Stegostoma tigrinum: one gene and its partner. The protein of the gene in region 2 binds, or shares a complex with, the protein of the main gene of each other region. Links are inferred from orthologs where the notes say so. Each region holds a gene or a part of one and is shown on either strand. Other genes may lie near its edges.

Region 1 (16,214 bases), on a different chromosome or scaffold from region 2:
AATTCAACAATGTTGGTTCAGTATAGATGATACTATTTTGCTGCACAAACACTCACACAGTTTAAGAACATATTAAGTTTTAAAGTATCTTGAGAAATGAGACATGCTTGGGAAAATATTCGCATGTTAGTACTCCATCCAAATAAACTAAAAGTTTATTAGCTTTCTTTAATGATTTTGATATTAGCTGTCACACAATTATTTATTTCTAATAGTGAGATTATTCCAAATGGCAGCCATATCATTTTAATTTCAGCAGATACAATCAAGTAATTGATCAGTTTTTAAATTTGACAAATATTGCAAGTATGCATTTGAGAGGAAGATAAATAAATACACCGCAAAGAAAGGAATGGCAAGTTAAATGAAAGGAAGGCAAAAAGAGACTAGTTTGGATCATAAAACAAAATGCTGGTTCCTTTGTTGCACTCATGTAAATTCATGCAGCCTGTCATTTTGGTTATTGAATATTGAGAAAGATATTACAGATTGTCAGATAATCTGACAGTCTTTTTCTGTTATATTTGCATTTTCTGCCATGTTAATAATTCATTCTTACATAACTTTAGTTCTATAGTATTATTTGGAGAAGTGAATGTAAGTAGTAAGAGATCTGCATCCACCAACTGCAAAGATTATTGTTATCATAACCATGTGACTTGGTTATGCTTATGATGAAAATGTACATTGACTGGATACATGCTCTTGGAAGACAGGTTTCTGAATGAGGAGAACAGAAATTGTGCAAGATTTTGAAAGATAACAACTTGCTCCAAATCTTAGAGAATAGCATGAATGCCCATATGTTTCCTTCTGTCGACTCAATATTATTTGTGAATGGCATGTAAAATAAGCATGGTTATTATTGCAGAAATTAATTTTTTTGTTTCATTTCATGCAAAGACTTTATTTCATTCAAATGTATAATATAAACAGAACAGCAGCATAAAATGAAAATTCTTGGTTTTTTTATTGTTATTCATTATGTATTTACAAATCAATGTTATTACTTTTTATATACATTGCACATTTACATGATAGAAAAAGTACAAAACTATATATTTAGATGAATTTAAATCTGTCATGTTCGAAAATATAAAATTGCATCTGCAACATAATACTTTAAGCAAAATGAAAACCCTGAAATATTTGCATTATGTTAAAACATTTAGAGAAACAAACCACTAAAGTCAGTCAGATTACATGCGGCCAGAAAGTGATCTGACAGCCACGCAGCTGCAGAACATTTCAAGTTGACAAGTTCCAAACGCAGCACATTTGGTCACTTATATGGCACGCTGTAAACAATATCTGGAGCTTTATTTACATTAATGTGTAACATAGTCCAATAAATAAATATACCAGGTATAACATGCAGGCAACGTAACTAAAAATTCATAGCACAAAAGGAAAATGACCAGCCACATTTACAGCTACCATAATGCAATTTACAGGTTGCATGAAGGAGTGTATTTTACAAGCATCATACGTCACAATAAATTAATGATAACACTGCTCTCTTGACGAATATATTTCCAAAACAGGTATAGTTAACCAATTTTATGCATAAATTATAAAACATGACAGTATAAATAAAAATCTACTAGACATAACTATGTATACTTCTTCAAAATAAATAAGCGTACACTTATTTACAAATAAGTACAGCGACTCCTTCCTCTTCCAAAGGTGAAGGAAATTACCAAATCGGAAATGGTGATTTAGGAAAGGTGTTATTTTCTTGCTCATCTTCTTCATCTTCATCTTCTTCAGTAATGGCTATGGGGGAATATATGGTAGCTGTTGTATGAATAAGGATCACAACAGCGCAGAACCTCAGTGCATGTTTTCAAATCTCTCTGGATAGCCACAATAGTCTCTTACATGGCACAAGAATGTAGATTGCATCATTTGTTATTATGAAGTAATTTTACATAATACCAATATTGCAGTGTGTTCTGAAGAATCAATGATCAGGCTTTATGGCAGTTTCCTGGGATGACATAGAAGTGTTCTTGCGTTCTAAATTGACATTGTATTCATCCATTGCATTCCTCAGTGCTAGTGATTAAAACCTATCAACTATTGTAATAGCTTTAAAATACAGAACAACTGTGGTGAAGCCTTTGGAAGGTTACTATTGATAAGGACGCATCAGCTTCAAAAATAATAGATACTCCAATCTATTACTATCATGGCATTATAATCCCTGATGATTTCTTCCTCTCAATGTGGACAGCAATCGCTTCAGGACCCATTGTATGGTTGTTCAAAAAACCTTCACCATTTATTAGCTATAACATTTATTTAGCAATGAATCCCAAACAATTATAACTCATTGCAGCTTTTTTTTTAAGAAAACTAATTTTAACTACAGTGACAGCAAGATACACTCTGATGCCTAGTTATGTCTTATGAAATATTATATCATTTACTTTCACACCACGATCATGAGATCCTCAATTAGACATACTCCCTCAAGGGGAAAAACAGCGCACACCATTTCCAAATAAAAATTGTACAATAGTTAAAGAGTTGTGTATAAAACAAGATAGTTGTGTTACATCAATCCTGGCAGCATTTAATAAACATGCTGATATCAGAGATGGAAAGAATGGATAATGGTGGGCAATAATCTCAATGAAATGTAGAGATTGAACATAAATGAATGGGCAGATATACTTTCTTAGTATCGATGGGGAAGGTACCTGTACTATTGCTATCACACATCTCACAAATTCTTGTGTCAAATTTCCTAATTACTCATTAGTTCTTTATTGAAACTGTTGATGGTGGGGAGGGGAAGGAAATAGATGTATCCTGTTATCATCAACATATGGCAAAATCTTAAACATGCTTATCATTAACAAATTTATTGTCTGGCTAAACCTAGCACACAGTGCATATGTTCCTCCACTGTTCATATAGAAGCATGAAAGGCATGCATATTCCCTGTTTGATAGGTACAATTGACAAGGTTATATTTGGTACAGCAAAATGTTTGGAAAGCTGATAACATAAAACCTGGCATAAACAGTGAATCTTATTGTGGGATAAAATTTACTTACAATTGCACGATCCTGTATGTTTGATCTCCAGGAGGGTGCCAGAGGAACAGGCTGTACTTTTCATTGCACACTCATTGGGGTACGTGGTGTTATCAGTGGCACAGACTGGCTCATCTGAGCGTCCACCCTGACATACATTACAAACAGCGCACCGACCCCTGCCAAGCCGGCTATCCCAGAGACACTTCTTTCCAGGGGTACACTGTATGTCATCACAGGATTTGGCTTCTGAAAAAGATAAACCCAAAATCATATTTATGAATAGAATGATTCATTCTGTCTTTGACAATACAGTCAAATGTTTGGACCAGAAAGTAAATTTAAACTCTTCAACTGCAACGATTTGTCTGACAAAATTCAAAATGAAAACCATACTAACCTACAACCCTCACAATATTCATTGTTGAGATTTCAATACACCATGCTTGATAGATTTGTCAATGGATTTTTTTTCCACATAAGAGCAGAAAACATATTTAAAGACCGTCATTGATGCTAGCACTCAACATTATATTTAAGTATCTGTAATTAAAGACCTTCATTTTGTACGTATAATTCAATAGTTTAAAAAAAATTGAGAAATGTGTTCCAAACTAAACATGAATGAGTTGAACTACCAATAATATTTAAACCAATTAGCAGAGCTGTAACATTTGCTTCTATCATTGAACGGTCATAGTCCACATGAGTAAACATACACTCCAATACACATTAAGACTGCATTTCTAATCTGGTTGTTGAAGAATTTGGAATAGGTTGAAGCTATTAGGCAAATGCCCTGCAACAAATAATTTAAGGTTAAAAGCCACAATTGGAACGATTCAATTCTGAATCTTTCTTCTGTAATGCAATAATCCTGGACATTGGAGTAGGCGAAGCCATACGAATCTGCTAAAGTACTTTTAAATACGACAGCCCCAGATGGGAAATTAAACGTTAAATGTCTTTAAGTCTTCTACAATTGCAATTATAATTGTAAACCCATAAAATTAAAATAATCTTGGAAATTTAAAAAAAATCCATGATTGACAATTTCATTTCTCAGATTTAAGAATAGGTTCAGACGACACGATAACAAATTCTGTTGATTAGCAAAAATGATCTTTTCTCTACATGCTTCTATAAGCGATATCAAATGTGCTTTTTAGAGCTCAAAATCGAATATCCAATGTACTTCATTAGGTTTGCTTTGACATTTATCCATTGCATTCCAATTATACGTACAAAAAGAAAACTCATCCCACGCTGTATTTGTACTTGTTTCGTAATGGTTTGCAGTTTACGCTTTGTGAGGTATCGTGTACGTACTTATACATTTCCCTTCGTACGCCACTCCAATGGTTCTGCCCATCAAGCAGGTGGCGCGTCTGATATGGCAGGCGCTGGCGTACGTGATCCCATCATTGCCGCACAGATATTGCTCGGGGCTCGAAGGTTCAGGGCAGATCCTCGGGTTACACATCACACAGTAGGCGCTGTTTGTCTGATCTACCACACACACAGAGCTGCCTGGACACAAGACATCTCTGCATGATTCTGTAAAACAAAGACAGCAATTAAAAACAAAAGTGAGGTGAGCACTACTGGAAGTAATCTTCTGCAATACAATCGTCTGATTTTATGAGGTTTAAGTTAGTGTTCATAGTAAACACAGATCACTTTTAAATTTGCAATATTTATTTAATAGGCGAGGATTTGGAACAATAAAGAAATGGCGGTGGAATAATCCACTTTCTATACTACCCCAATTACAAACATTTACTGAACGCAATTTAATTTAGGAACAAAATGTGGGGGAAATTATTCTGAACACAAATCAATTCAAAGTTAAAATGCGGGCGGTGTGGAGAATCACTCAATAGACACTGCAAGTGAGTTGAACAATCTGTTAGTTCGCACTAGGAGAGAATGGAATGCAAACATCCTTTAAGCGAGCGGCTCGTCCCTTGCAGAATCGTGTTATTGAGTATGTACTTGTTGCACACATACTTTTACATTTGCCTTGATATTGGACCTCGAGTTCGGGATGCCCTTTGCACCTCGCCTTCAGCAGGACACATTCATCTTTGTATGTTTTCCCGTCTGTGCCGCAAACGGAGCCCTTCCAAGTGACGTTGGAGCAGTCGGGTGCACAGACACATCGAGGTTTATTCTTTTTGTTCATTTTGCACTTTTTACCTGGACCACAATCGACGTTATCACAGGTTTCTATTACAGGGAAAGAAAGACAAGAGTTTTGTGGAAATTGCTTCCATGCATCAATATAATGTTCGAAATGTAAAGTTACATGCCCATTCTTACTAACTGAACTGAGTAATTTATGACAGAACGTTTTGCATTTTTATAAGCTTTCTGTTTCCAGATGTTTAATGCAAGGTTTGATAAAACAGCGCAGACTCAGTCGCCATCTTAACAAACCGCTTAGAAAGCCATGACAATCCAGCGAGTCTTTCTGAAGCAGTTCACTCCAATGAGTCGAGACCGAGTGGGTGATTAGCCAAAGCAAACGCGCATTAGAATCATTTCGCGAGCGATCTGTAAACTTTAATAGGCCTTGCAGGATCCAGTGAAGATGAGCACCAACAGTTCCGAATCAGATAGACCGAGTGAAATCTGTACCTTTACAAGGCGTACAACCCGGGGCTCCACCGTTAAAGATAATCCATCGGAAAAGGGTACTGGATGGCACATCATCTTCGGTCCATGCTGTGCCCAACCTTCCACTTTTGCAGCACTCTTCGCGGCTGACCCCGGTCATGTAAAGAACCTGGCATTTGCCGTTCTTGGCTTGCTGGAGCCAGCAGTTCCCAGCTGCAACACACAGTCAGAGCAGTGTCAGTTTCACCGTTCCAGACACAACACGTGCGCTGTGTATTGACGGTACACGAGTGTTTACTTCAAAGTTTTCCGTCTCAGTCTGGGTGAACCGAGGAGCTTAAAACCACCGACATTTCCCCGCCATGGACAGTAACCGGGTTGCCCCTGAAATGTACACCTCTCTGCCATTACCTTGTGCCTACTTTGAATCGTGACATGTCCCACTTGGAAAGTTACTTGGCTCTGACCCAATACAGCGCAGGCTGAAGTACTGTAAACGCGTGCGGTGGAACAAAAAAAACTGCCAAAACTCATCCTTACAGCGAAAACGCAGAGCGCAAAATCCGAAATAAATAAATGATTGGCGGCCTACTTGTCTCAGACTCATGCGAAAACAAACTTTGGTTGACAATTCGACAAGCGTCTGTATTTATTCTGTATTTACCTACGGCGTCGGTTATGTGTTAAGTGTTAACCGTTGATTTTTAAAAATCTATTCATACAGTCACTCCGGAATAGAAACATAGTCTATTTTCTGTAGTATTAACTCGTTCCAAAAATGCCTGAACTCTGCTGCCTCTTCTGGATAGTCTAGACTTCTTGTTGATACCGCCTGATATCAATCTAAATATATACTGTATATCGAGTTTTCAGTTACATGGAAGAGACTTTGTTGAGGTAGCAATATAGAACAGGCAAATTTAACATCACACAAGTCAATAATTTCCATTGGACCCAGTTATCATACTCGCTTCTTAATCCTGCTTCAGTCGCATGGTGTTACCGATGTGAGCAACATTTAACAGCTCGATCGGACGTTTACATGTTCGATCCATCTGCAACATCAATGAGGCGTTTTGTTTATCAGCAATTCCCCTTTGCTTCTAACTGAATAGTGATCGAGTAAACTTTCACTATCAGGATCCCAGCACATCCTATTTATGCTTAACTATTTGCTCAGAGATAATGCTAAATTGCACCCTGCTTTAATTCTGTACGGCCACATTCTGGTAAATGTGAATTGAGTACACAAACACGTGTGCTACATCGTATTTTGATCTGAAAAGTTTGGAGTAGAAGTAAAGGATAAACCGAATCAGCGTTGGGCTTTATCTTCACTCGAGAAAATAACATGCAGGCACATGACCAAACAGAACATGAAACTAAGAGCCATGTCCACAAATGTATACAGAGAAGAGGTCTCCAAACTGCTTTAACTTACCCTGCACTCGCTGGTCTCCAATGGTGAGGAAGATAAAAAGTGAAATGGTGAGAGACGCTGTTCTGCTGTTTAGCATCCTTAGCATTGTGGCACGCAATTTCACCGCAGCTAAGTACTGATCTGAGAGCACCAGTCAAGTCCGATCGCTGTGTTGAATGAACGTCAATCTGTGAATGCAGTCACTCTTAAATATTTTGGCTGAAAGGGGTCTTGGCTGGTCTCTTTGGTGGGCGGTCTTCTGATGGCATGGTGATGCGTTTGGCAGGATGGGGGAGGAGGAAGTGATCAAAAAAAAGTTAAGGTGGACGGAAACTTAATCAGGTGACATTTCACCGCCTCCTCTAAACTTTTCAGTTAAAATCTCCGTCAATTTCACAAACACAAAATACATCTGTATAACATCCGAGAGCGTAGGCATCCGAGTCTGGTTACAGGTCACAGTGTCAATTTCTCTCTGTAATTGACAAGATTGTACAAGCTCATGGAGAAAGATTGCGGGGGCGGGAAGGGGCTGAAGTAAAATATACTGTTCCTAGGTGTATTAAGGCTTCTGCTTTATTTTGTTCTCTTATTGGGCCACCTTTATATCTACAGCGCAGTAGACATTCTAACCTGTTGATTTTTTAACCAAGCTATATTCCGAAAATAGAAGCCAGACACCATCAGTGGGTCAAAGTAACTGGTCTCAATCTATGCACAAGAAAATATAACAGCAGCCAGAGTAAATGCCGCCCAGCTTTTCTAATCCAATTTCTCTGGTAAAGCGACAACTCCACCCTCAGCTCGCCCATAACCTGTGTACGTAATGTCGATATTTCGTCTCATGTCTATGTCTCGGAGGGTTGGATAGTACTGAAAAGAGTTTATTGTTATGTCTAATCTCCATTAACTCAGCATCAAAAAGCGCGTGGGGTGGTTTTTGCATTGCAGTGTTCTCTTGCAGACTCCTACAGTTTGAACTATTACCAGTATTTTAGTTTTATTATTTATATTAATGATTTCTTGCCACCTGAGTATTTCGGGAAATGCATCACTGTATTAAATGGCTATAGTGCAAACCAAGGACACTGACACCGTGGGTGTGTTCAGCCAGTAGGTATTGGAAAAGCAGTTAGATTTAATACCCAGATCTGGCAAAGTTACGCGTCTCTGTAACTGGAGCAGACTTCGCATGTCTGTGAAATGCCGTAGGCGGTCTCGTATTTTCCATTTGAGATTGTGACATCGAAAGTCGAATTTTAGTGTTGCTCAATGAACTCGCTTTTGGCGGAGAGAAAAAGTACGTAGGCGATCTGTCGCCGCCTATCTCGGGGATTACGTTTCCTTGTTTCATTACCGTTTCGGCGCTATTGCGTTCTGTCCGAAACCTCACCCCAAGAAAAAGATAAAACGCGCGGTCCGACTTTAATTGTATTCAGCCTGATAGGTACAAACAATCAGACAACTTTTTTAGTGTTGATAGGTGCAATGATCTGACTAGAAATAACTCCGCGATAACAGACAGTTTCCACCAGCTGCGGGATAAAGTAGTAATCCTTTAATAAAGACTTATTACAATAGGTTCTTAAAGTCTCTTTATAATAATCGTCAGAAATGCAATCATTCTAATATTAGCAGAGACAGTTGTTTGGGTGCCTCAGGCTGGTGGTAGTAGTTACACTATTTAACGTTCAAAATAGACCTGACAGTGCCATGCCAGCGGACAGTAGGAAAACTTGTTGCACAAGGCAGTTCCACGCAAATAATTTCCGTTTTCAATGCTGCGAAACCGTATTTTCTGTCCCAGATTATCCTGGCCTGTTATTCCACAACATGGCAATTGTGGTTTGATACACGTGCAAAAAAAAACTAATGCAGCCCCCTAACGATCCAAACGAGGCAATTGCAGCTAAAGTGTGCACCAATCGTGATTTCCAGTTTATCTCGCCAAAGCGACCAGAGACTTTCCTTCTTGCCAAATCTAGATTCTGTGTTAGTAGAGTTAGAACCGTGAAAAGTCAACGTAACTGTCACCTGGCGAAGGAAGTCTGGGTTTGAGCAGATACTGGTAAAAAAAACCAAGATAACCTAAAACATACCGAAATACACCTACCATTCCCAAATCAAACTGCGCAGCAGTAGATAACAACATTAGGTAGACGCGAGACATCACATTATATTAGAATTTATTTTTTTAAATAGGCAGTGGAAATTACCAATATGAAGATATTTGTACTGCCATTGTGCCATGTGTCTCTTGCCAATGTTGTTCACATACCTATGTATTTGTTTCTGAAATCCCCTTCCAACGGGAACTACGCACATCTGTCATTCTCGTGATTTACTTCGTTTTATGTGCGTGTCACTCTGGCTATTGGATGTTCAACGTTTGTAATCCAACATCAAGTATCTGTTACAGATTGAGGACTGACGAACTGGACAATCTCACCCAGTTCTGATACATCTAGCGAATAATACCGACTGCTGAGCAATTTACATCCTCAAAAACAATAAAAGGAAAAACAAGAGTTTTGAAAACAAACATAGAATTGACAATAAATTTAAAAGATTAATATTGGAGGCAAACTGACGGGTGTGAAAAATAATAGAAAACAAGTATTGCGCAATATAAATCGTTATCCATAAATGGTAATGAAAATGGTAATGAAAAATCAAGGATAAATGCTGCAACAAAGGGGAATATAAAATAGCACATTAAGATAGTTCCTTTATTGATTCACGGGACGAGGGTGTCCCTGGCTACGCAGCATTTATTGCCCATCCGTAACTTCAGTTAAGAGTTAATCACATCGCTGTGAGTTTAGGTCAGACCAGGTAAGGATGGCAGTTTCCTCCACTGAAAGACATTAGCCAACCAAATGGGTTTTTCCCCGACAATCGATTCCAAGTCGTCATTAGACTCTTAAGTCAAGATATTTTTATTGAATCCAAATTCCACCATCTGCCAATAGCGGGATTCGAAGCGGCTCCCCAGAGCATTATCTGGGTCTCTGGATTAACAGTTTACTGATAACACCGCTAGGCTATCATTTCCCAGTGAGGGGATAGATAGTGAGGGCGGGAAACAGGAATGTCGAGGGTGGAAATTTATGAGAATGAAAATAAAGGAGACTGAAATGCAATTTCCGCTCGTCTACAAGGAAACTGAAGTGAGACCTCTGCAGGACGACAGTTGTATACGCTCATGCACATTTTTGACCCAGTTTCCAGAATCCGACAGGTGCTTGTTGGAAGTTTTACGGATATTGATGAGTTTCATACTAAACTTGAGCAATTAAGAATATGAGTCAAAGTGTTTAAGTTATGGTGACTAACAACAATTTACTATGGCAATCAAAAACTTTAAGGCAATCCGTTACTTCCACTTTGAAAACAGAAACCTTGTCAATTTCATAACAGCATTTGAAACAATTAATCTGCAGCTCCGAGGTATTTACAATATTTGGTGCTTTTCACAAGACTATAACATTGTTAATCAATCATTCAGCAATCCGAATGTGAAACAGAATTTGCGTTCTTCTACAATCCAGAATTGTTTCGATACGAGTACGATATTATTTATCAATATATTTGTATTTGAAGCTGGTTACGAATATGGTTATTTCCTTAGATAATCTAATACGTCAAGCAGCATAGGCCTAGTTACTGCTTCTAATATGCAGAACACTATAGTTAATTCTAAGATCTGAACACAATCCATATCCAAATATTCTGCAAAATTAAATGAAACAAATGAGCTTTACTGTTGTGCCTATTGATTGCATGGAAAAAATAATTAACTAACAACGAGGGGCTTTGGCATTTAATTGCTGGATACCATTTAAGGTAGAATTGAAATCAACGGTTTAGGTCGTCTGTCTCTAAGAGACAAATGCAAACATTTGTCAGCTTTTATTCGAAAAAAGCTTCTATACCCTCCCAAAGCCATTTTCGAATAGCTTGCTACGTGCTTTGAAAATTTAAACATTTTCGTAGCTTTACAAACCATCAGGCAAGTCCTTACTAATTTATAACCATGGGAAGACATTTGTTATTAAATCATCCACAAAAATAAGAAAAATATCAACCACCAAACGGTTAATAAATGCCGGAAATAACCAAAAACACAATAGATCGATCAGCATTTGTAGAGAGCGCCGTCCTGACTGTTTACACTTAATAGGTTCTGACTTCGTAAATTGGTTTTCACAGATATTGACTGCCACGAAATGACTAATACTCTTGAGTACCTGGAATTGTTCAGCGACAAAACAAAGTAAATTACGTATCAAATAAACATGTTCATGAAATGGCGCAGGCCATAAAACAATTGTTTTTGACGAATTTGAGTAACCGTTATCACACCTGTAAGTGATGCACTTGTTCGATCGAGGTTGTCAGTAGTCAAAACTAAACTTGGCAATTGAGTAGCACCCCACTATGAGCATTTATTTCAAATAATTCAACAGAAGGAATTGGATTGTTATGCTCGATGTTATCAGGCAAATTCTCACATGGACCTCAAATAATACCAAACTAACGGGAAAGTACATATTACCTTTAACTTCCCTGAACGTGTTACTTTCGGGACGCGAAGTATCCCAAACAATATATATCATCATAAATATCGTCGTAAATGTCAACAAGTTCTAAAGAAGTCTTGGTGTTTGGTACGTGTCAAGAGGTCCCTTTTACAGTCAATCTGACATACTTTCAATATCTTACTGAAGATTGTTTTAAAAATCAAAAACAAAGAAACGTAATTGCACTAACCGATGCGTGACTAGCACCTTTAGGTTCAACATTTTAAAAATAAAATCAGATCCAAGTTGTAATTTACTATATCAAATTCATGAATACAGCAATGCCATATAATGGCGCAGTAGAAGGGAAAGGTAAATGTACAGTTTCATTAGTCGATTTTCCTGACTGTTTGATATATTCATTGTTAATAAATAGAGTTGAATGACGACCAGAAATCCAATAAAGATGAAACTCTGCTACTGAATGTAAACACGTTCATATTTATGACATCTTATTCTTTGTATTGTTCTATTTATTACATCAACTATTTCACAACTTGCCTACAATATTGTGATTAATTTAACCATTAAACCTACTTAATGGACATTAATTCATTTCGATGCCACAGATTTAGCTCTGATAGTTGAGATACGCTAACTGTATCTTGGAGAGCGCAAACCTAATTTGTACAATGTCCCGAAGAATGTTATGTCAAAGAATCGGATTGTCTGTTTTCCAGCTATTAACAGACTCCTGGATATACATACCAAACAGATTTCTGTTTTTTTTTGTTTTTTTTTGTTTTGTATTTTGGAAGGTGGTTGGTTGGAAGATTAGTGAAGCAGAAGAAAATCTTTTTCACCCAGAGGGTGATGGGCATCTAGTATTCACTGTCCAATGTGACGGTTGTTTTGTGTTTTTTTGATTTTTGTTTTGTAATTAAGATGCTGGACACTATTTTTGATCTCATTCTGATGTGTTACCATTATAGTCCTGAGGTTGCGACTAGAACTAATCACGCCAAATATTATTTGATAACGCTGTTTATAGGTTTCACTACCTTTAATAGCAACATAAAAAGGAAACTTGTTGTTTCTATTTATCCTTAATGTCTTACTTGACTTCTGTCTTCAAAATCATCCAGCCTAATGAAAGGTTTATTTTAAACAACAATTATTAGTTTAGTGAGGAAACTAGCGAATGACCCAATTAGGTCACAGAATGAGGGCTGAATCCCGAGCTTCAACAAATAGATCAATAAGATCAAAGAAAAGTGACAAACCAAATATTCAAAAGTACAGTCAGATTGAAGACAAACACCTTCCGGAAGTCACATTCATTACAAGAAGCTCCAGTTTCAATACAAGTGATCGTCTTCGTGTTTTTGGTGATAGACTTCGGTGTAAAGACACATCCCGAGTTACCGGGTATGTAGGCACGCGTTGGCAATCGGTTTAGTAGACTGCAGCCACTTGGAGAACCGAGAAGGCCTGCATATTAATGATATAAATCGACATCCAGCCACCGTAAAACAACAATCTTTTTCATGTGCATTATTGATCCATTTTTGTACAGTACGCAAAGTCACTGGTTCTCCCCCGTCATTGAGAAATGAGCAAAGTCTTGGAACGTAATTTGTAATTTTCAAATGACCAAGAGAATAATACAACAATAGAAAAGTTATGACACAGAGAGAGGTCATGCAGATCGGCTGCCCATTTTATTCTCACTTTTCAGAGCCTGGAGTATGGCTTTATAGATTTAGGAGCCTGATTTATGAGTTTTCTCCTCAACCGTCACATTGGACAGTGAATACTAGATGCCCATCACCCTCTGGGTGAAAAAGATTTTCTTCTGCTTCGCTAATCTTCCGACCAACCACCTTAAATTTCTTCCCACCGGTAAATGACTTTTCCTCTATCTAATCCCCTCGTTATTTTATACATTTGTATTATAAAACAAACTTTGTCATTTTCAATGTCTGTAACCTTCCATTAAATTATTGTCATTAATGACTTGGCATTGTAGAAAACAACTGAGTGCTTTGCCTTGTTTTATTTAAATTAATAAAAGAGTTGAGATACATAAGATTATAGATACAGAACTTTTCATGGTCGCACTTGCCCATTACTCAGGTACCCATTCTATATCACTCTTGCATGACTTGGTGGTGCGAAATTTGAAACTTTCTTAAGTGTGATACAAACATTGCTGAAAATTTCAATTTGTTCTCATTACGACAAATACAAGAATGTTGCATTTTTAATGATCACAGCAATTTATACAACAGAAGAAAGAGATGCTGAGTTGTTGTCAAGTTGACTCTGATTGGCTGAGGCATTGCCATGGAGAAAATTACAGAGACCTATCGGAATCCACCTTTCAGGTAGTTCACAAAAGGTGCCAAGCTTGAACATGTTCCTTTCCTCCTTAGAAAACGGGTTCCATCAAATATATGTTGCAAAAATAAATGTCAGTTGATGAATTTAGATAAATATTTTAAATTGACTGTTCATGTAGCCAATAGCGCATAAAATTGTTCAGGAAGAGCAGTCCGATCACAGAAAAATGCAATTAAGCAATGCTGCACATGAACTTCAGTGCCAGAGATAATAGGAACCGCAGATGCTGGAGAATCCAAGATTACAAAGTGTGAAGCTGGGTCAACAGAGCCGGCCAAGCAGCATCTTAGGAGCAGGAAAGCTGACGTTTCGGGCCCAGACCCTTCATCAGAAAAGGGGGATGGGAAGAGGGTTCTGAAATAAATAGGGAGAGAGGGAGAGGCGGATCGAAGATGGATAGAGGAGAAGGTAGGTGGAGAGGAGACAGACAGGTCAAAGAGGTGAGGATGGAGCCAGTAAAGGTGAGTGTAGGTGGGGAGGGAGGGAGGAGATAGGTCAGTCCAGGGAGGACGGACAGGTCAAGGGGGAGGGATGAGGTTATTAGGTAGGAAATGGGGTTGCAGCTTGAGGTGGGAGGAGGGGATAGGTGAGACGAAGAACAGGTTAGGGAGGCGGGGAGGAGCCTGGCTGGTTTTGGGATGCAGTGGGGGGAGGGGACGAGCTGGGCTGGTTTTGGGATGCAGTGGGGGAAGGAGAGATTTTGCAGCTGGTGAAGTCCACACTGATACCATTGGGCTGGAGGGTTCCCAAGCGGAATATGAGTTGCTGTTCCTGCAACCTTCGGGTGACATCGTTGTGGCACTGCAGGAGGCCCATGACGGACATGCCGTCTGAGGAATGGGAGGGGGAGTTAAAATGGTTCACGACTGGGATGGTGCAGTTGTTTATTGCGAACCGAGCGGAGGTGTTCTGCAAAGCGGTCCCCAGGCCGCCGCTTGGTTTCCCCGATGTAGAGGAAGCCACAACGGCTACATCGGGTGCAGTATACCACATTAGCAGATGTGCAGGTGAACCTCGGCTTGATGTGGAAAGTCATCTTGGGACCTGGGATGGGGGTGAGGGAAGAGGTGTGGGGGCAAGTGTAGCACTTCCGGTGGTTGCAGGGGAAGGTGCCGGGAGTGGTGGGGCTGGAGGGGAGTGTGGAGCGAACAAGGGAATCACGGTGAGAGTGGTCCCTCCGGAAAGCAGACAAGGGTGAGGAGGGAAATATGTCTGGTGTGGGGTCGGATTGCAGATGCCAGTGTGATTTAAGATACGCAAGTTTTATGTCCCGGCCTTTGCCTGATTTAATCAACAAATATCCTTTTTCTGTTGTTCATAGTAGGCAGAGTACAGACCGTGCTTGACCAGCCATACTTGCAAAAGCCAAAACAAAATATTAACTCATAGATATTATTCTGCAATTGAACTGCATTGCCGAGCAACCCTGAAATCCCGAACAAGTAAACACTAGCTAGTAAATTAAGATAATCAGTCCAGCTCATAACATGGCTTATTTGTGTTTGTTAGAAGGAATATCAACACAGGAACCAATTCTCTAGGGACAAAATAAATGTATTCAAACATGTTGCATTTTCTTTGGTTCAACTTGGAGTGGGGAGAAATAGTTCCGTTTCCTTTCTTCATGCTAATACCTTGGCCAATCAGAGTTGTCTTGCCAGCCCTTTCTCCTGTAGTTTCATTTGTTTTGACTATTTGAAAGTTGGAAATCCTACGTTTGTCGTCAAGAGTGCAAAATGAAAAGTTTAAACGACATCTCTTCAACAATGTTATACTTAATTGCAAAATACACCCCCATAAGAAATCATCCCATCCTTACAAAAATACTGGTGTCACAAACTTGAAGCAAACTAGAGTTTTCAAAACTTCAGGTTCAAGTTTGAATCGTCTGTGAAATGCCAAGTAGAGAAATCAAAAGAAGTGAACTGATGGGACAAACGATGCAAGGAAAGGCACTTGTAATATGATAAATTATTTGCCATTCAAGATCACTCTCATAGGCGAAGTATTCTCGCCACTTGAAGGATACATTATGTTGTTGCGAGGTTTTAAAAGGGCGCCCAAGGAAGTTTTTACTGACATGTAGAACTATCACGCCTTTCAGCTACAGGAATAACTTTTCGCGCGGTTTCTTGCGTGCTGTGCCGTTTTCGTCTTTTCTGGGCCGTAAACACATGCTTTGATTATGGCTCCGACATTCAT
Region 2 (16,014 bases):
TTGCGCCTTACATTTCTACAGCATTAAGTGACTTTGCGACGTGATATACAGCATAACGTTACTTTGCAACTTGCATCTGATCGATAGTGTAAATTGACTTTGTACTTACACTTGATCTATAGCAGAAAATGACTTTTTAATGAATACAAAGGATCAATTGTGTAAAACGTCTGTGATTTGCACTCAAGGTACAACTTAAAATAACTATTTGCATCTTACACAAAATCTATAGCTCAAAATAACTTTTTGTAATATAAGCACAGAACTTTTTTTTCAAAACCTATTTACTACTTCTGCATCAAACATTTAAGATACTTCTATTTCCTCCTTCATTTTTTCTTTATTTACAAACTGTTTAGTTTGCTGTGCTAGACTTGATAATCAATACTGTATTGCAAGCTGCAGCTAACCAAACAAGGAAAATGAGAATTACTTTAACTGTTGCTGTATGAATTGGATAAGAAGGACCAACACACAAGGAAATTGGTTATATTTTTGGGTTTTTACTGTTGGTATTTTTCTCATTCAGTGTCTCTGACCACAATTCTAGGAGAACCTTCTCCTACAATCTCCATTGTATCTTCTATAAATCATTGAAGCAAATAACATTTTTCTTTACACTTCTGCATTCTCTAATAGCTTCAGACAAACTGCTCAATCCTGCAAGATAGGCTGAGATAGTATTTCCAAAAAAAAGCAAATTTTAAATATGTCTATTAACTGCACAAGAGCTGTGGATCAAACATACTTAGCATGCGCAACATGCTAATGTTTGAATTGATTTGTTTCAGCCTCTGTAATAACATCTATCATAATCTGGACCATGTTTGTGGCAGCCGGAAGGGAAAAGAAAGGCATTTCCAAAGGCTTTTTCACAGCCTCAGGATGCCCATCATATCTAAGTTTCAAGGTGCAATTTTCCTAAAGATTTTAATAACAGTCCAAGCAGATGGTTAGATGTTCAAGTCAAGCTGCTTTTGCTGTTAAGGACATTCTCTCAGTGGTGTCCAGATCAATGGTTTATAATTGTAGAGGGTAGCCTTGTTCTCCTACAAATCATCCAACCGGTGTCTTTCAACTTTGTGGGAACACGCACAGTGGGGACATTGTAGCTGCATCTTGGATGACAGCCACTGAAATACATGGTAATATATTTGTGGTCCGCTGCCACCTGAACAGTAATTGAGAGCAATCTTTGCCATAAAGGGCATGATCGAGATGAATGACCTTGATACCTATATGCATGCCCTGTGTAAGTCTGTATTAGAGAGCCCACCCACCCAACAAATGTGTGCCTAGCTGGTGCTTTCTGTCCTGGAAAACTGATGAGGATGTACTCCACTGCACCCAACAAGCTGCCACCTCCTGTTCCAGATGCACCATTACAGGTTAGTTAATGCAGCTAGTGTCTTTTGAGATTGAATCATTGAGCAATGGTAAGAAAGTTTCCATCACTTGATTTCTTTTGAACCAGGTTACCCCTTGGTCGCTAAGGTTGGTGATCTCCAACTAGAAGTCAATACAGGACTGATGTACTGAGGCACCTAAAGTTGCAAGGAAAACACCAGAATTATGTGGTAATCCAGTGTCCACTGGAACAAGATTGTGAGGCTGAATGGTATTTTTTCATCCGATGTATAGACTGTTCAAGTGGCCAAGTTTACCCTACACACAGCAAAAGTCTTGAAGCATTTATTGTCTGCGTGCTATAAAATGGTGACCCTCAAAGACGAGTGAGTATGGGAAGTCATATGGAGTAGGCTTACAGGGAGAGGAAATAGATTAACATGAATGCTATGTATAGGCTGAAAGGTTGCTTCAGAACTCTGATCAAGAACTACTGCTAGCAGTGGAAAGCTTATCTATTATAAGCCTAAGAACAGGTTGCACATTCCTTCCAAAGGGTACTATAAGATCAGGATGTATTCTGTGCTGTGTGCATAGGCAATATGGTATAAATCCTACACTTGCATTTTCCTTTGGTGACCTCCCAATGAGGTATGTTTGTCTTGGGCTGAGTTCATATACTCCCTAATCTGGAGGATTAGCTACAGTGGTAAATTGAGGTTAGATGATCTGAGCTTGTTCAGATGGTGCCTTTGGACTCTAGACATGTCAGGTATTGTCCTTGCTGCTTCTGGAGACATGTTAAACAATGCTAAAAGTGCTACGGAAACCAATGAGGCTAAAGACTGATAAGTTCCCTGGACCTGACGGGATGCAGCTTAGGCTATTAAGACTATAGCTACTGAGATCATGGCTGCACTGTTAGTAACCTTCCAAGAATTCTCAGATTGTGGAAAAGTCCAAGAGGATTGGAAACCTGTCAATGGAATGCCTTTTATTTAGAAAGGGAGGGAAATGAATGACAAGTATCAATAGGCTAGTTAGCTTACTATCTATTTTTGGGAAAATGTTGGAATCAGTTATAAAGGATGTAGTAACAGCTCATTTAGAGACGCATACTCTCGCAGAGTCAGCATGGTTTCATGAAGAAGAAATCATCTGTGACAAAGTGATTAGAATTTTTCAGAGGTAACAAGCAGGATAGATAGAGACAAAGTAGTGAATCTATTTGAGTTTTCAGAAGGCATTTGATAAGATATGCTACCTCCAACACTATGTGCAGTATTACAACATGGATAGAGGATTGGCTAACTAAAAGATAGTGTTGGGATTGGTAGAAGAGGGGAGACTTTTTCTGGTTGGCAACCTGTAACTAATGGAGTACAATAAGGAACACAACTATTTACAATACAGATAAATGGATGAGGAAAGTGAATGTATTATAGCTAATTATGGGGGTGATGTGGATTGGTGGGAAGGCAACTAGTGAAGATGACACAAAGTCTGAAGAAGAATATATACAGGTTAAGCAAGTGGACAAAATATTTGCAGATGAAACAATGCAGGAAAATGTGAAGTTGTGCACATTGGCAGGTAGAAGAACTGTATATTATTTAAATGGAGGAACTACAACACAAAGGAATTTGGGAGTCTTTGTGCATGATTTACAAAGAGCTAGCATCCAAGTTTAATTGGAAATGGGGAAGGCAAATGGAATATTCACATTTGTTTCAAAGAGAACAGAATATAAAAATAGGCACTTGCTGCTGGAATACATTGAACAGTTGGTCCCCATATCTGAGGAAAGATATATCGACACTGAAGGCAATCCAGAGAAGATTCACGAGGCTGATTTAGGATATGGGTGGAGGAAATGTCTTACAAGGAGAGGTTGGGTTTGTACTCATTGCCTCTCATTCTTCAAAATTTCAATGCGTAGAACATTCTTCGGGGACCTAACAGGGTAGATGTAGAGAGTTGTTTTGCCTTGTGGGAGAGCCTGGGACCAAAGGAGGTACTCTCAGAATAAGACAGGAGGAGGAATTTCTCCTGAGGGTAGTGAATCTTATGCATTTTTTTAACCATCGAAGGCTGAGTCATTAAATATATTCAAGGCTGAGTCAGACAGATTTTAAATCAGTAAGGGAATTCAAGGTTATGGGGAAAATGAAGGAAAGCGAAGGCAAAGACCATTAGATCAGCCATGCTCTAATTGAATGCTGCAGCATTCTCAATTGGCTGAATGGCCTAATTCTGCTCCTACGTCTAATGGTCTACAGTGACTGCCAATGCAAATTCATTCTCAGACACTTGCCCAATCCGTTTGAGGACGCTGGGTGGAATGGGAGGGGGTGAGGTAGAAGTTAATTTTAACCACCTAATTGGTCCATTGAATCCTACTGAGCACCATAGCTGAGTATCCAATCTGGATGCCCAGTGATTTGCACATGGAGTAGTCTGTGTTGGATGTGGATAACACAGATGCCATGCCTTCTTTGCAAATAATTGACCAGTCTTTTCATCTGGTGCCAATAAGATTAGATTCCCTACAGTGTGGAAACAGGCCCTTTGGCCCAACAAGTCCACACCACCCCCATGAAGCATCCCACCCAGACCCATCCCCCTATAACCCACACACCCCTGAATACTACAGGCAATTTAGCATGGCCAATCCACCTAGCCTGCACATCTTTGGACTCTGGGAGGAAACTGGAGCACCCGGAGGAAGCCCACGCAGACACGGGGAGAATGTGCAAACTCCACACAGACAGTCGCCCGAGGCTGGAATCGAACCCAGGTCCCTGGCGCTGTGAGGCTGCAGTGCTAACCACTGAGCCACCGTGCGCAGTTTGGGAGTCTAGCTTTTAATGAATGTCATTCACAGTGCTATGGGAATGCTACTTAGTACTCATTTCCTCAGTTTTGGGGCTCTTCTACAGATTTCTGAGGTGTCACAAGCTCCTTGGCATGCTGTGTGACTGCAGGGGTAGTGGAGGTGCCAATACCAGTGACTGCAGGCTGCACGTGTTAGTCTCAAACAATGGCAAATGCCTTTTTCATCCCTGCATCAATTTTCATATGAATACATGCCCAGTAACATACCAGCTCCCTGCCTGAATTGTTGACATGTGGCATCCTGCCATCTCCATTTGGTCCTCACTTAATTCAGTGTCCTCTTCCTCAAACTAATTGCAGTCCCTGGGTTCTAGCATGCATATGTTCAGTGATGGGAGTGAAACACTTACTTGACAAACTGTTGTATTGTGCCTGAAACCAACCTGTCTCACTTCATTTCAGCAGGAGCCTCCGAGGAGAAGAATGGGAGTTGCAATGCCTAGGCAAGCTCATGCTCTTAAAACAGTTCAGATACTGAGGTGTAACACAGGGTCACTAGGCTAGTACTAGTACATATTATGCCATGAAGATGATGAAATGGAGTTTCAATGGAGAATGCTTTCTTGTTGGTGGCATTGAACCCATTTAAGCCAAACCATTGAATTCCAAGTGGCTTCAGTTGTATTATCTATGATAGTTACCATTACCCCTTACCATTACCATTACTCCCCCCAAACACTGCCTATCTTGGTCTTCTCCCTCCAATTGTGTCTACAAACAGAAGAGGATAAAAGAGATGATGGGAATTCCCCCCCCCCCCCCCCCAATCATCTCCAAGTAGCGCCCTGTACCTAAATGACTTGCCTCGTGGAACTCTAGACTTTGCAAACTTGTCTGGAGATCTTGCTGGAGGTACTCAGTGAATGGAACTGGAAATTGCTTTGTGCAAGACATTACTGTGCACCACTGCAGTCGTTCTATGCTAAAACACAGCAGCAAAAGGATGAATGTGCCCAAACGTTTCCTCTTTGAAGGTGCAGAGGAGAAACATTCTACTGGGACAATGTCTTCTGTGCCCAAGCAGTAAGTATATATGCAAAGGATGGGACACTTAACTGGATATAGGGCAATCTCTTCATCATTTCCTCCCAGTTATGACTGTCTTGTCAACCCTCAGTTCAACTTACTCCTGTCTTCATAACAGGATTGCTTTCACTTCCACAAAGAACAGCCCTGCTTTTCTATATCCCCTGCAGCACAAACTCCAATGCATTGCCAGTCACCCCCACCACTTCCTCTGACAACAAACAGAATGTTTAACTGTGCAGTATTAAAGAGAACCAAGCAGCCTGCACCCTCAATTTTGCTTAATGTTATTGTTTTGTGATATTATTGTAAGATCTATAGCTTAGAGGCTACCTTTTGTGATATTTTATGAACTATAGCTAGGAATTGGTGTTTGTTTCATTGTATGGAGTACAGAAATGACTTTTTACGATATTTAATGTAAATCGCTATCTGATATTTTAAATAGTACTCTAGAAATTAGTTTACAATATTTTATAAAATATAGTCCAGAAGTGATTATTTATTATTTTTGAACAGTAGTCTGGAAACTTCTGCGATGTTAGCCGTGGTTTTGAAATTGGTCTGAGACATTGTACAAATTGAACTCTGAAAATAGTATTTTATGAATAATAATCTTCATGGTACTGTTTATGATTTTTCTCAATAATAATCTAGAAATTTGACATTTAATTAACTATTGTCAATAAATTGCTGTTTCTGATAGTTCATAATCTATAGAAATGAAAGTTGAAGTGTTGCAATATTTCATGTTCTCTAGGCTAGAAATTGTCGTGCTATTTTGAATGATAACCCTAATTTCAATAGATTAATATTTTATCAACTGTAGTCTAAAATTAGTTTGTAGTAGCTTAACGAACCAGTCTAGAACTTGCGATATTTCTTGAATTATAATTTAGAAATTACTGATATTTAATGATCCAAATTCTAGAAGTTGCTATTATTTTGTGAAGAACAATCTAAAAAATGACCGTGATATTTTATGTCCTCTGGTCTGAAATTACTCTTGTTCTATTTTATAAAATATCGTCCGGGAATTGGGGTTTAGGACTACGGGAAACTGTAGAATAGAACTTCCTGTAATATCATCTAGCGCAGAATTAAAGTTGTTTCGGATAGTGATCTGAGACTGATAACCTAGAAATATTGGGTAAAAGATTGGTTTGTTAACAGTGGCGTAATTAATTCATTGTCATTTCGGGGAAAAAGCTAGTTTAAGATTACTTCTAGGTTTGCAGATTCTTTTGAACGAAAGATTTAGGATCTACTGCATAGTCTCACACAATGGCTACGGATGGCATTGGCATGTGGATTTTACTGTTTGCGATATTTGCACACCAAACCGCTCAGAGGATAGTTCAAGAATCGTTACCTCATCAAGAGAGCTACTAGGAGGTGCCTGATACAGCAACACGAGGTTGTTAAGCGACATTTCACATAACTGTCGTTATTAGCGACAACAGCAGTTCAAGTTTCTAAGATAATCTGCCAGAGACTGAACTCCCCAGTATGAGCATTTTCCCCTTTAATTTCTGTTTGAGCCGATCGGCATGATCATTACACAATATGTGTGAGATGGCACGGAGGTACTCACGTTCGGTGGCCATGGTAATGACAGTTTCTGTCGTGGCGTGATACTCGTCGTTTTCCAGAAGAGTCTCTTTGGCAAGGCAGTCATCACTCTGAATATCATATCGGTCCAACAGTTGCTGCAAAGGGGGAGCTTTGGGCAGGAGCTGATTGACAATATCCCGACTGATGTTGGGAGCTTGTTTCAGGCGCAGCTTGCTCAGGATCTGAGATTTAATGGACTCCAACCTCAAGGCTTTGCTGTGCTCCCTCCACAAGCAGGCTGAGCATTCCGCCTGGTCCAAGACCCTCTCCCTGGCTTCCAAATCTTTCTCCAAAACTGGCTCGTCACTGACTGTCAATCCCAGAGAGACCAGAAGGCAAAAGATAACGTGTGACTGATGCATGATCTCTGTGTGTGTCTATGCCCTGTTGAAAATGAAAAGTTCTGGAATCCAGACTGTAGCCGGGAGAGGAGAGGAGAGGACAGTCGGTGAGTAACACGCTAGTGGATGATAAGTGATCAACTGAGGCGCCCCTTTTTATATCACTACTTTGGCCACAACTATTGTGTCGTAAAAATCCAGGATTGGCTGAAGAGCCAAACAAAAGGCTTTCAGGAGAGAGCGAGAGAAAATAAGAAATCGCCTTGTGCCAGGTGCCCGTTACCATTCGTCCTTTAGCCGCGCTGTCTGTCTCAGGATACCTGCTCTCAGGGCTGCCATTCTGCTCCTCTCGGGCGCTCTCCTAGCCCACTTACTGCGCTCTGTGGGGCGCCAGCTGGAGTGTTTACAGGTTCATGTTCCTCGCTTTAAGTGACAGTACCTTTCCTAAACGTGTATATAAATCACCGACGTTGTCCTCACGTTTAATTTCTAATTTCTTTACAGGTTTTTTTTTCTGTCTAGCTTTTTTACTCTCTCTGTAAATTGTTGTTCCTTTTAAATCAGTGTGATACTGACTTATAATGAACACCACTGGTTTCGGGAGTTTTTTGGCGGGGGTTCTGGTAAATTAAAATATTGACAATTGCGGCAGTGTTCGCTTGCGGGTAGCGGGGTGGGGTATGGGTACAGACGGGGCTTTTTGGTTCTGACAATATTTGCTTGTAATAAAGCTCGAATTCCTCTCCCAGTTTAGATTCACCTTGTTAAGTTCAGGTCTGTTTTAAAAGCGTTTAACCACGAGATGCTATTATGTGTATTAATTACTCGCTTATTCATCACTTTGTTAATCTTTGTCATTAAAGCAATAGCTATTTCTACATTTCAAACTATGTTGCTCGACGTGTTTGTTGTTTATGTTGCAGTGAACTCTCGGAATAGTCTGCATTGTCAATTGTAGGTCCGTTTCATTGACGAATTCTAAGTTGTTTTGGGAGCTAAAATCGTGACGACTCTATACTTCATATTTACTAAAACCAAGCGAGGTCAGAAAATACTCGATGTTACAATGCAAAATGTTGCAATTATTAGGGAGTCGGTACTTTGTGGAGAGATTCAACTTAAAAACCCGAAATGCACGTTCATACCTGCTTTGTAATTGAATGATTGTTATCAGGTTTAGATTAAGAGGACGGGAGCTTCCCCCGTAAAATCGCAGTTTCGACAACACCAGTAAAAAAAACTTCTAATTACATAGCGCTTTTAACGCAATAAAACGTCCCAGGGCAAACAGAAAAGGTAATATTTCTTAGGTCTTCGAAAGAGGACTAAAACGTTCCTTGTCTTCGGGCTCGTAAATCCCAAGAAGTAAAACAGGACCAGAGAATGCATCATTCGATTGAATCAGTTAAACGTTCGGTGTGAACTGTCCTTTGAGGCTTGCATTCAACCTGAGTTGTAATTGTAACAAGGCTTCTGTATAAAACGAAATCAAAACGGATTTGCCTTGTATCTTGACCCCCAGATTCGCGAACATCGACATAAGTGAAATCACTCGTCGAACTCTGGCTTCCTCCGTCGTTGGATCAAATTACTGAAATTATTCTATCGGATTTATCATAAACCAACAACAACAGCAAAAATGTTGTTTGTGAGAGAGAGGCCAACGGAGAAAAAAAAACACGAATAGTTTCCGGTTTTCCTCTCCGTATTAAAGGTGAGAGGAGCTGACCGAGTTTTCATCCTGACAGCAAACTACGAATGCTGGAGGTCACAGCGGGTCAGGCAGCATCCGTGGAGAGGGAGCAAGCTAACGTTTCGAGCCTAGATGAGTCTTCAGCTCTGATGAAGACCCATCTAGGCTCGAAATGTTAGCTTGCTCTCTCTCCGTGGATGCTGCCTGACTCGCTGTGATCTCCAGCATTCGTTTTTTTCAGTACAGATTCCAGCATCTGCAGTCATTTGCTCCTGCATGGTTTTCAGCTTGTTCACTATCAGACAGAACGCTTTCAAATTGCGTCTTCATCCAACGTTCTGTAAACCAGATATCCGCTGGGTTTTGTTGCGATGAAATTTCTCCATCGTTGGGTTTGGGTGTATTTTAAGGAGGTGCAGCTTCATGTGCTAGTTTACGCATTGTGACCCAAACCTCAAAAACAAATGTTTAACATCGAAAACAACAGAAAGCTGTCTCCGGTCCGAACACAGCAAACTGTTTGGGAATAAAGCAAATTCATGGGGTGATTTTGCAGGTATAGAATGAGGCTTTTCCTCTAGGTCATGGCGGATTTGGAGAAACTCAGCGTCTGGGGGGGGGGGGGGGGGGGGCAAGAGAGAGAGAGAGAGAGATACTGGAGGTAACATTCCAGGTCCAGTGAACCTTCAACTGCTGAAGAAATTATACTAGAACTCGAAACGTTAACTCTGCTTTCTATCTAACCTGCATGGATGCTGCCAGACCTGTTGAGTTTCTCCGGCATTCCCTGTGTTTATTTCAAATTTTCAGCATCCGCGGGATTTTGTTTTGAACACACCCTCGATCAGAAATCTATAGCTCTCGGGTTTGAAACTTCCAACTGACCACCAAAATCCATGGCTTTTTGGGAGTTCACTGTCTTGTTTGAATGTTGGATTCGGATTCAGATTTAAAAACACTTGGCGTGGTGGGCGTGGGCTGGCAATAGGAAAATCCTGGCTCCAACTTTGTTGATTTCCGCATGGTGGTGGGACTGCCTTGAAGACAGTAGCCTGGGCAAGAACGGTAAAGGTTGAAGGTTTGGTCGACAATGAATTATACCAAGTCAGATTTCCGGAGAGAATTTCCATTCTATGTGGAAACAGGAGTCTTGGAGGAGATCCTGGAAACCCGATTGGTAGCAAGAGATTTAGGCTCGTTGAACATATCCCTTTTTTTCCTGAACGCATTAGAAGGTTATTTAAAATGATTTAGTGGTACATTTGTCTCGCTTCTGGATTCTGTCTGGGGTTGTGGTTCACAAAGATGTCAACCTGCGATTGATTTGTACAGTTTAAGGCCATAATGACGTGGGAGCCCTTGGCCTGAACAAACAGGCCAAAAAAAAGTCTCTTTGGTTTCCAGGTTTGACATGACCAAGTCCCAACGTTTCACGAAAGGGGGAGGCCATTCACCGCAGGAACAGGAGGAGGCAATCCTTCAAGCATGTTCTGCCACTCAGTCAAATACGAGCTGATCGACATCTTAACTTGAAGAACCCGCTCTATTAATCCCCTTAAATGAACAGAAATCTATCATCAATTGATTTTAAATGTTCAAGTGGCGTCCCTTAGCCAGCCTCATCTTATAGGGAGAGTGCTGCAGATTGTCCCTCCTTTCTGCTTCCTGACCTTCACCCTCCCCCCCCCCCAACCCCAGACGGCCCTGGCTCTCGTGGTGAAGGTTCTGCCCTTCCCCACTCCCACCTCAACTTCTCTAGAGTCTCCGTTAATACAAGAGGGAGTCTTTCCTCTCCATTGAGCCCTTTAACCGTGTTGAACCATCCTCGATGATATCGCGCCCCCTCTGTGCGGCCCGTCCTGAGAAGTGAACCCAACCGAGGCCCGGGATTGTTCTGGGCGATCTGCGTCCCAGTGCCGCCGCCTGGCGGTGCCTCCGCCGCTCTGTGAAACCACTGCGGCCGCCCTGTGCTTCTGTCTCAGCGCCCGTCGGCTCTGACTTGCAGTGACCTTTGCAGATTCGGCCTGTCTCTGCGAATGACTGGGCCTCAGCTGATGGATGAGAAGCCCTGGGGCAAGAACCATCGATTTCCGAGTACCCCACCCCCTCCCTCCCTTCCGGGACCCTGTCCTTGACCTGGCCGCCCATCCATTGGGACTGAAGCGAGAAATACCCTCTTTTTAACCCAGGAGAATTTAAAAGCCGAGCCGTTTCAAATGCAATCCTCGTTTTGTTTTTGCAACCTTCTCCCATAGCCCTGCTCATATAGACACCACCCCCGACCTTTATCTGAAACCTTTGAAATCCCCATTCTCGCTACTTTCTGTCCCCTTGTACATGTCCCTCTGTATCTGATCAGTGCATGTCTTCCCGCTCCAAAATAAAACAAATCTGGTTAGTTTTGTTTTATAAAACTCAGCGGTTATTTTGTTAAACATCTGTAGTGTTTACAGGCTTTGGAAGTTTTAAAACAATAATATTTAGATGTTTCATTTGCAAAATCGCCCTCCAGCTGTCTGATATGAAATCAATTTAACTTCATCGGATTTAATTCAGACCCTACCCACCCCACCTTGCCACGCTCCCCTCCCAAACTTCCTAAACAGTATGGAATTCCATTCTCAGTCCCTCAAAATCCTAATCCAGCTAAATGTGGGAATAGGGGAGGTGGTGGTGTGGACAAAAGATGCTGACTTTTGAATTATGTAGAATTTATTAAATTAATTGCAGTTTTTACAATACGCCGAAGGGTGAGCATATTGTGGTGGACACGGAGTGAACAGTGTTCTGCAGGTTGCTGGACCATGTCACCGTCATGAGCTGGTGCCGACTCCGGGAAAGCAGCTTCCCCCTCGGCGGAGGCTGGGCACAGCCTGCCACCTACTGGACCATACTGCAACTTCATTTTCCAAGCAGATTTTCACCAGATTGTGTTCGCACAAAATCTGTCGACATAAATGCTGCGAGACCTGCTGAGTTTCTCCAGCAATTTCTTGTTTTTGTTGTATTTATTTCAAGGTGTCCTACTGATGATCTACTGCTTATTTTAAATCCGCACACAATCTTTCACAAACAGCAATGTCATAATGACAGATCCCCTATTTTTTTGTGATATTGATTGAGGAATAAATGTTGGCCAGGACACCAGGGTGGACTCCCTACTGCTCTTCCAAAAATGCTGCAGGATCTTTTACGTCCAACCTGAGAGGGCAGACAGGTTTCATGTGTCATTGTCTCAAAGATGGTATCTCTGACACTGCAGTACTCGGTCAATTCTCAAGAGCATGGGTGCTTGCTACTCACTGAGCCACACGTAATGAAGCAAGACCTAGTGTACAGAGCACCACACAATCATGATGCAGAGAGTTGGAGCAGGGGTGCGATTAAATCCAGTTTGGGTTTTAAATGCCTGTAGATTGTGGAGGGGAGGGAAGGGAAGGCTCAAGTAGCTCAAGACATGCACAATTTGGAGAGCCTGGGAATGAATGAGTTGGAGTTGGAGGTGGTGCAATGGGTCATCTCAACACATTGTGGATGCAAGTAGAGAGGGCACTTAAACTGGGGGCTTATGGAACTGAGAAAGGATGAGGAGAGGTCATTGAGCAATATTGACAGAATCATCCACAGAAATAAGAATGGGAGAGAGGCTTGAGATGAGGGGGAGAGATCAGATGACAAGTTAATTGTTTCATCAATAAAATGTATTTAAAAGTGAATCAATATTTTGCATATAGTGAGAGCTGGCAGTGATTGATGTGGAAGCCAGTGACACCATTCATTAAAGAATCCCTGTGCCGAAGCACATATCATTTATTATGCATGTGCTGAGTCTAAGCTTAATGGAGCTTTAAACACTAAAGGAGCTGTGTGTGAAATTGTACCATCTGTGGTCCTGTTTAATCATTATTAATACTCATCAAAAATATGTTTTATGGACATCAAAAGATGCTTTTAGTCTCATTACATTTAGCGGTATCAATGTATTAAAATGGTAACTTGCCAATTAAACCATTAATTATGGGTCAAAGAGGACCAAAATAGCTACATAAATGATTTTATATTTGTTTTTTAAAAATATTAATTTGCTACTAAAGGTGTCGTATGAAATAGGCTTTGACACTCTCTCCATCAGTAAGAAAAACACTCAGTCATAAACCCTCCCACCATTTTCCACAATATCTGACAATGGAGTGATTTGTGGACTGACTGCTTTTATGAACATTTTGGGATGAATAACAAGAAAACCCAGGAGATAGGAACAGAAATGATAAAGATAGAAATCTGAAACAAAAACCGTGAGTACTAGAAACATAGCATTTGTAGAGAGGTCAAATAAATTATTGCTTTTACATGAGACCCTTCATCAGAACTGATCATCAATGTTTTGTAGTATGTATTGCCTTTGATAAATTATTCTCATATATTGGAGTTTCAGCTTCAATTCAATTGGTAGCACTCTTATGTCAGAGTCAAAGCTTTGATTTCAGACCCTATCCAGAGATTTGAGTATATAATCCAGATTGAGAGCACCAGGACTGAGGGCATGCTGCACTGTTAGAGGATCAGCACTGAGGGAGTGGTGCAAAAGCAGTACTGAGGGAATACTGAACAGTCAGAGGGTCAGTACTGAGGGAGTGCAGTACTGTTGGATGGATCATACTGTGAGATAGGTGTACTTTGGAAGTGCCACATTTTAAATGAGGTGTTAAATTCAGGTTCTCTTTAAGGGCTTTGAAGTTACCTGCACTGAAAATATTCAATGCTTTCCTTCCCTTGGTTTCCTTCTAATTATATTAAATTGGCAGAAAATGTCATTGAAGAGAAGCAATTGAAGAGAGAGGTAGCTAGTTTAATGTGTACACTAATGCACCATAGTGATAGTCATCTGGAATGGATCACCTCAATTTAAGAACTTTACTTCTTTATTGAAATTGACCATAAAGACTGTTTTCTCAGATGAGGGATCACTAATCTATTCTTGAAAGGCTTATCTTACAAAGAAAGGTTGTACAGGCCAGATTTATACCCCTTGAGAGTTTAGAAAAGCAAGGGGTGATCTATTGAAACATACAAGATCCTGAAAGGAACTGACCGGACAGTTACTGGGCAGATGTTTCCTGGCACAGACAAGAACTAGGCGACACTGTTTAAGATTAATAAGTCTTTTAAGATAGAGAAGAGGATGTTTGCTCTCAGAAGGTTATTCGTCTTCCCAGAAAGCATTGGTAACTGGATCTATTCATGGCTTGATTGACAAGGCAGTCGGAGTTATAGAGGGAAGACCAAGTTTGACTGTAACAAGGTCAGCTATGCAGTTAACGAATGATGGGCCAAATGGCCTACTGCTGCTCCTAAGTCCTCTATTTTTATATTTAGGAATATTCATTCATCAGTTGAAAGGGAAGTAGGTGGTGATTACTGTTGATTGTGAAATTCTCCTCCATGGTCTTATCCCTCCCTTTCTTTATAATCTACTCCAGTCCCAACAATCCTCTGAGATCTTTAAGCTTTTCTAATTCTGGCCTCTTGAGCATCCTTCAACTTCCGTCACTCTACCATTGATTACTGTGTCTTCAGGTGCCTGGGCTGTTAAACTCTGGAATTCCCTCCTTAAACCTTTCCATCTCTCTACATTACTTGCATCCTTTAAGGTGCTCTTCAAAACCAACTATTTTGATGCAGCTTTTGAACCTTATACTCCATCTTCTTATGTGATGCGGAGTCAAACTTTACTTGATGACACACCTATGAAGTGTCTTGGGATGTTTTTACTTGTTTCCAATGAATCAGACTTCATGAGAATTCACTCCATTTTTAAATTTGTTGACAGAGATGAATGCGTCACTGGCTGACCTGGTTGCCCTGGAGAAGGTGGCGATAAGCCTTCTTGAATTGCTGAAGCCCATTTGGTGTAGGAACAGCTACGGTGCTGTTCAGGAGGGAGTTCCAGGATTTTGATCCAGCAACACTGAAGGAATGGTGATATATTTCCAAGTCAGGATGGTGTGAGACTTGAAGGGGAACTTGAGAGTAGTGGTGCTCCCATATATCTGCTGCCCTTGTCCTGATGATGTTGAACATCTTGAGTGTTGTTGGAGCTGCACCCCTCAGACAAATGGTGAGTATTCAATCACATTCTTGACTTGCGTCTTGCAGATGGGTGACAGGCTTTGGGAGATAGGAGGTGAGTTCATTCTGCAGGACTCTTAGACACTGACCTGTTCTTGTAGCCATACTGGTCCAGATCAATTTCTGGTCAATGGTAATTCCCAGGATATTGATAGCGGGGAATTCATTGGTGATAACACCTTTGAATATCAAGGGAGTGGTGGTTAGATTCTGTCTTGGAGATGATAACTCCCAAGTTGTTGAAAGTGGGGAATTCAGTGATGGTAATGCCATTGAATGTCAAGGGCAGATGATCAGTTTTACTCTTGTTGGAGATGGTCATTGCTTGGCATTTGTGTGGCACAAATATTGCTTGCCACTCATCAGCCCAAACCTGGATATTGTCCTGGTTTTGCTGCATTTGGACATGGAATGTTTTAGTATCTGAGGAATTGCAAAATGTACTGAATATTGTGCTATCATCAGCGAAAATCCCCTTCTGACCTTATTGATAGAGGGAAAGTCATTCATGAAACAGCTGAAGATGGTTGGGCCCAAGATACGACTGTGAGGAGCTCCTGCAGAGATGACCTAGAACTAAGATAACTGACCTCCAACAACAACCATCCTCCTTTGTGCCAAGTATGACTCCAAGCAGTGAAGAGCTTTCCCTGATTCCTATTTTGCCAGGCCTCTGCAGTTTAACCATACATCACTTCTGGTGGATTTATCCTGCCACAGTGGGAAAGGACATAGATTTGATTTTATTAATGTGACTCAGTCAAGCTGATGCTTAATTAAGATAACCATCCTAACTGCTAAGTCCTCCTACTGCCGGGGACATTTTCTGGATTGTTTGTCCTGAGTCCTGTTCTGATCTCACTAATTTTGTTCCCTTTGAAATTTGTATCTTGACATCCTGGCACAGTTCCATCAGATTGGAAAACAGCAAATGTAATCCCTCTATTCACCAAGGGAGGGAGGTGGTTG

What was found.
Region 1: the proteins of growth/differentiation factor 11-like (region 2) and follistatin-A-like are in contact, whole or in part, in a crystal structure (PDB 5JHW), measured with the Homo sapiens proteins. The link is inferred for Stegostoma tigrinum from reciprocal best matches to the Homo sapiens genes GDF11 and FST. Residues at the interface, in NP_005802.1 of Homo sapiens: Asn299, Leu300, Gly301, Leu302, Glu310, Arg312, Asp328, Trp329, Ile331, Ala332, Lys334, Arg335, Tyr336, Lys337, Tyr347, Met348, Phe349, Met350, Pro354, His357, Gln361, Ile380, Asn381, Leu383, Phe385, Asp387, Lys388, Gln389, Gln390, Ile391; in NP_037541.1 of Homo sapiens: Leu34, Arg35, Gln43, Val44, Leu45, Tyr46, Lys47, Thr48, Arg60, Ser62, Asp72, Asn73, Leu75, Phe76, Met79, Ile80, Leu134, Asp135, Arg149, Gln153, Pro154, Glu155, Val180, Val181, Asp182, Gln183, Tyr188, Val190, Thr191, Asn193.

Annotation. Positions count from the first base shown.
Region 1 is NC_081354.1:127,247,995-127,264,208, forward strand, and holds follistatin-A-like, read right to left. Parts: upstream 7,352-16,214; 5' UTR 7,193-7,351; coding exon 7,108-7,192; intron 5,880-7,107; coding exon 5,688-5,879; intron 5,277-5,687; coding exon 5,058-5,276; intron 4,605-5,057; coding exon 4,377-4,604; intron 3,297-4,376; coding exon 3,069-3,296; intron 1,801-3,068; coding exon 1,700-1,800; 3' UTR 1,085-1,699; downstream 1-1,084. UniProt on the Homo sapiens protein: Multifunctional regulatory protein whose primary function is to antagonize members of the transforming growth factor beta (TGF-beta) superfamily including activin, myostatin, GDF11 or bone morphogenetic proteins (BMPs).
Region 2 is NC_081404.1:18,609,133-18,625,146, forward strand, and holds the start of growth/differentiation factor 11-like, read right to left. Parts: upstream 7,398-16,014; 5' UTR 7,245-7,397; coding exon 6,863-7,244; intron 1-6,862. UniProt on the Homo sapiens protein: Secreted signal that acts globally to regulate anterior/posterior axial patterning during development. May play critical roles in patterning both mesodermal and neural tissues. It is required for proper vertebral patterning and orofacial development.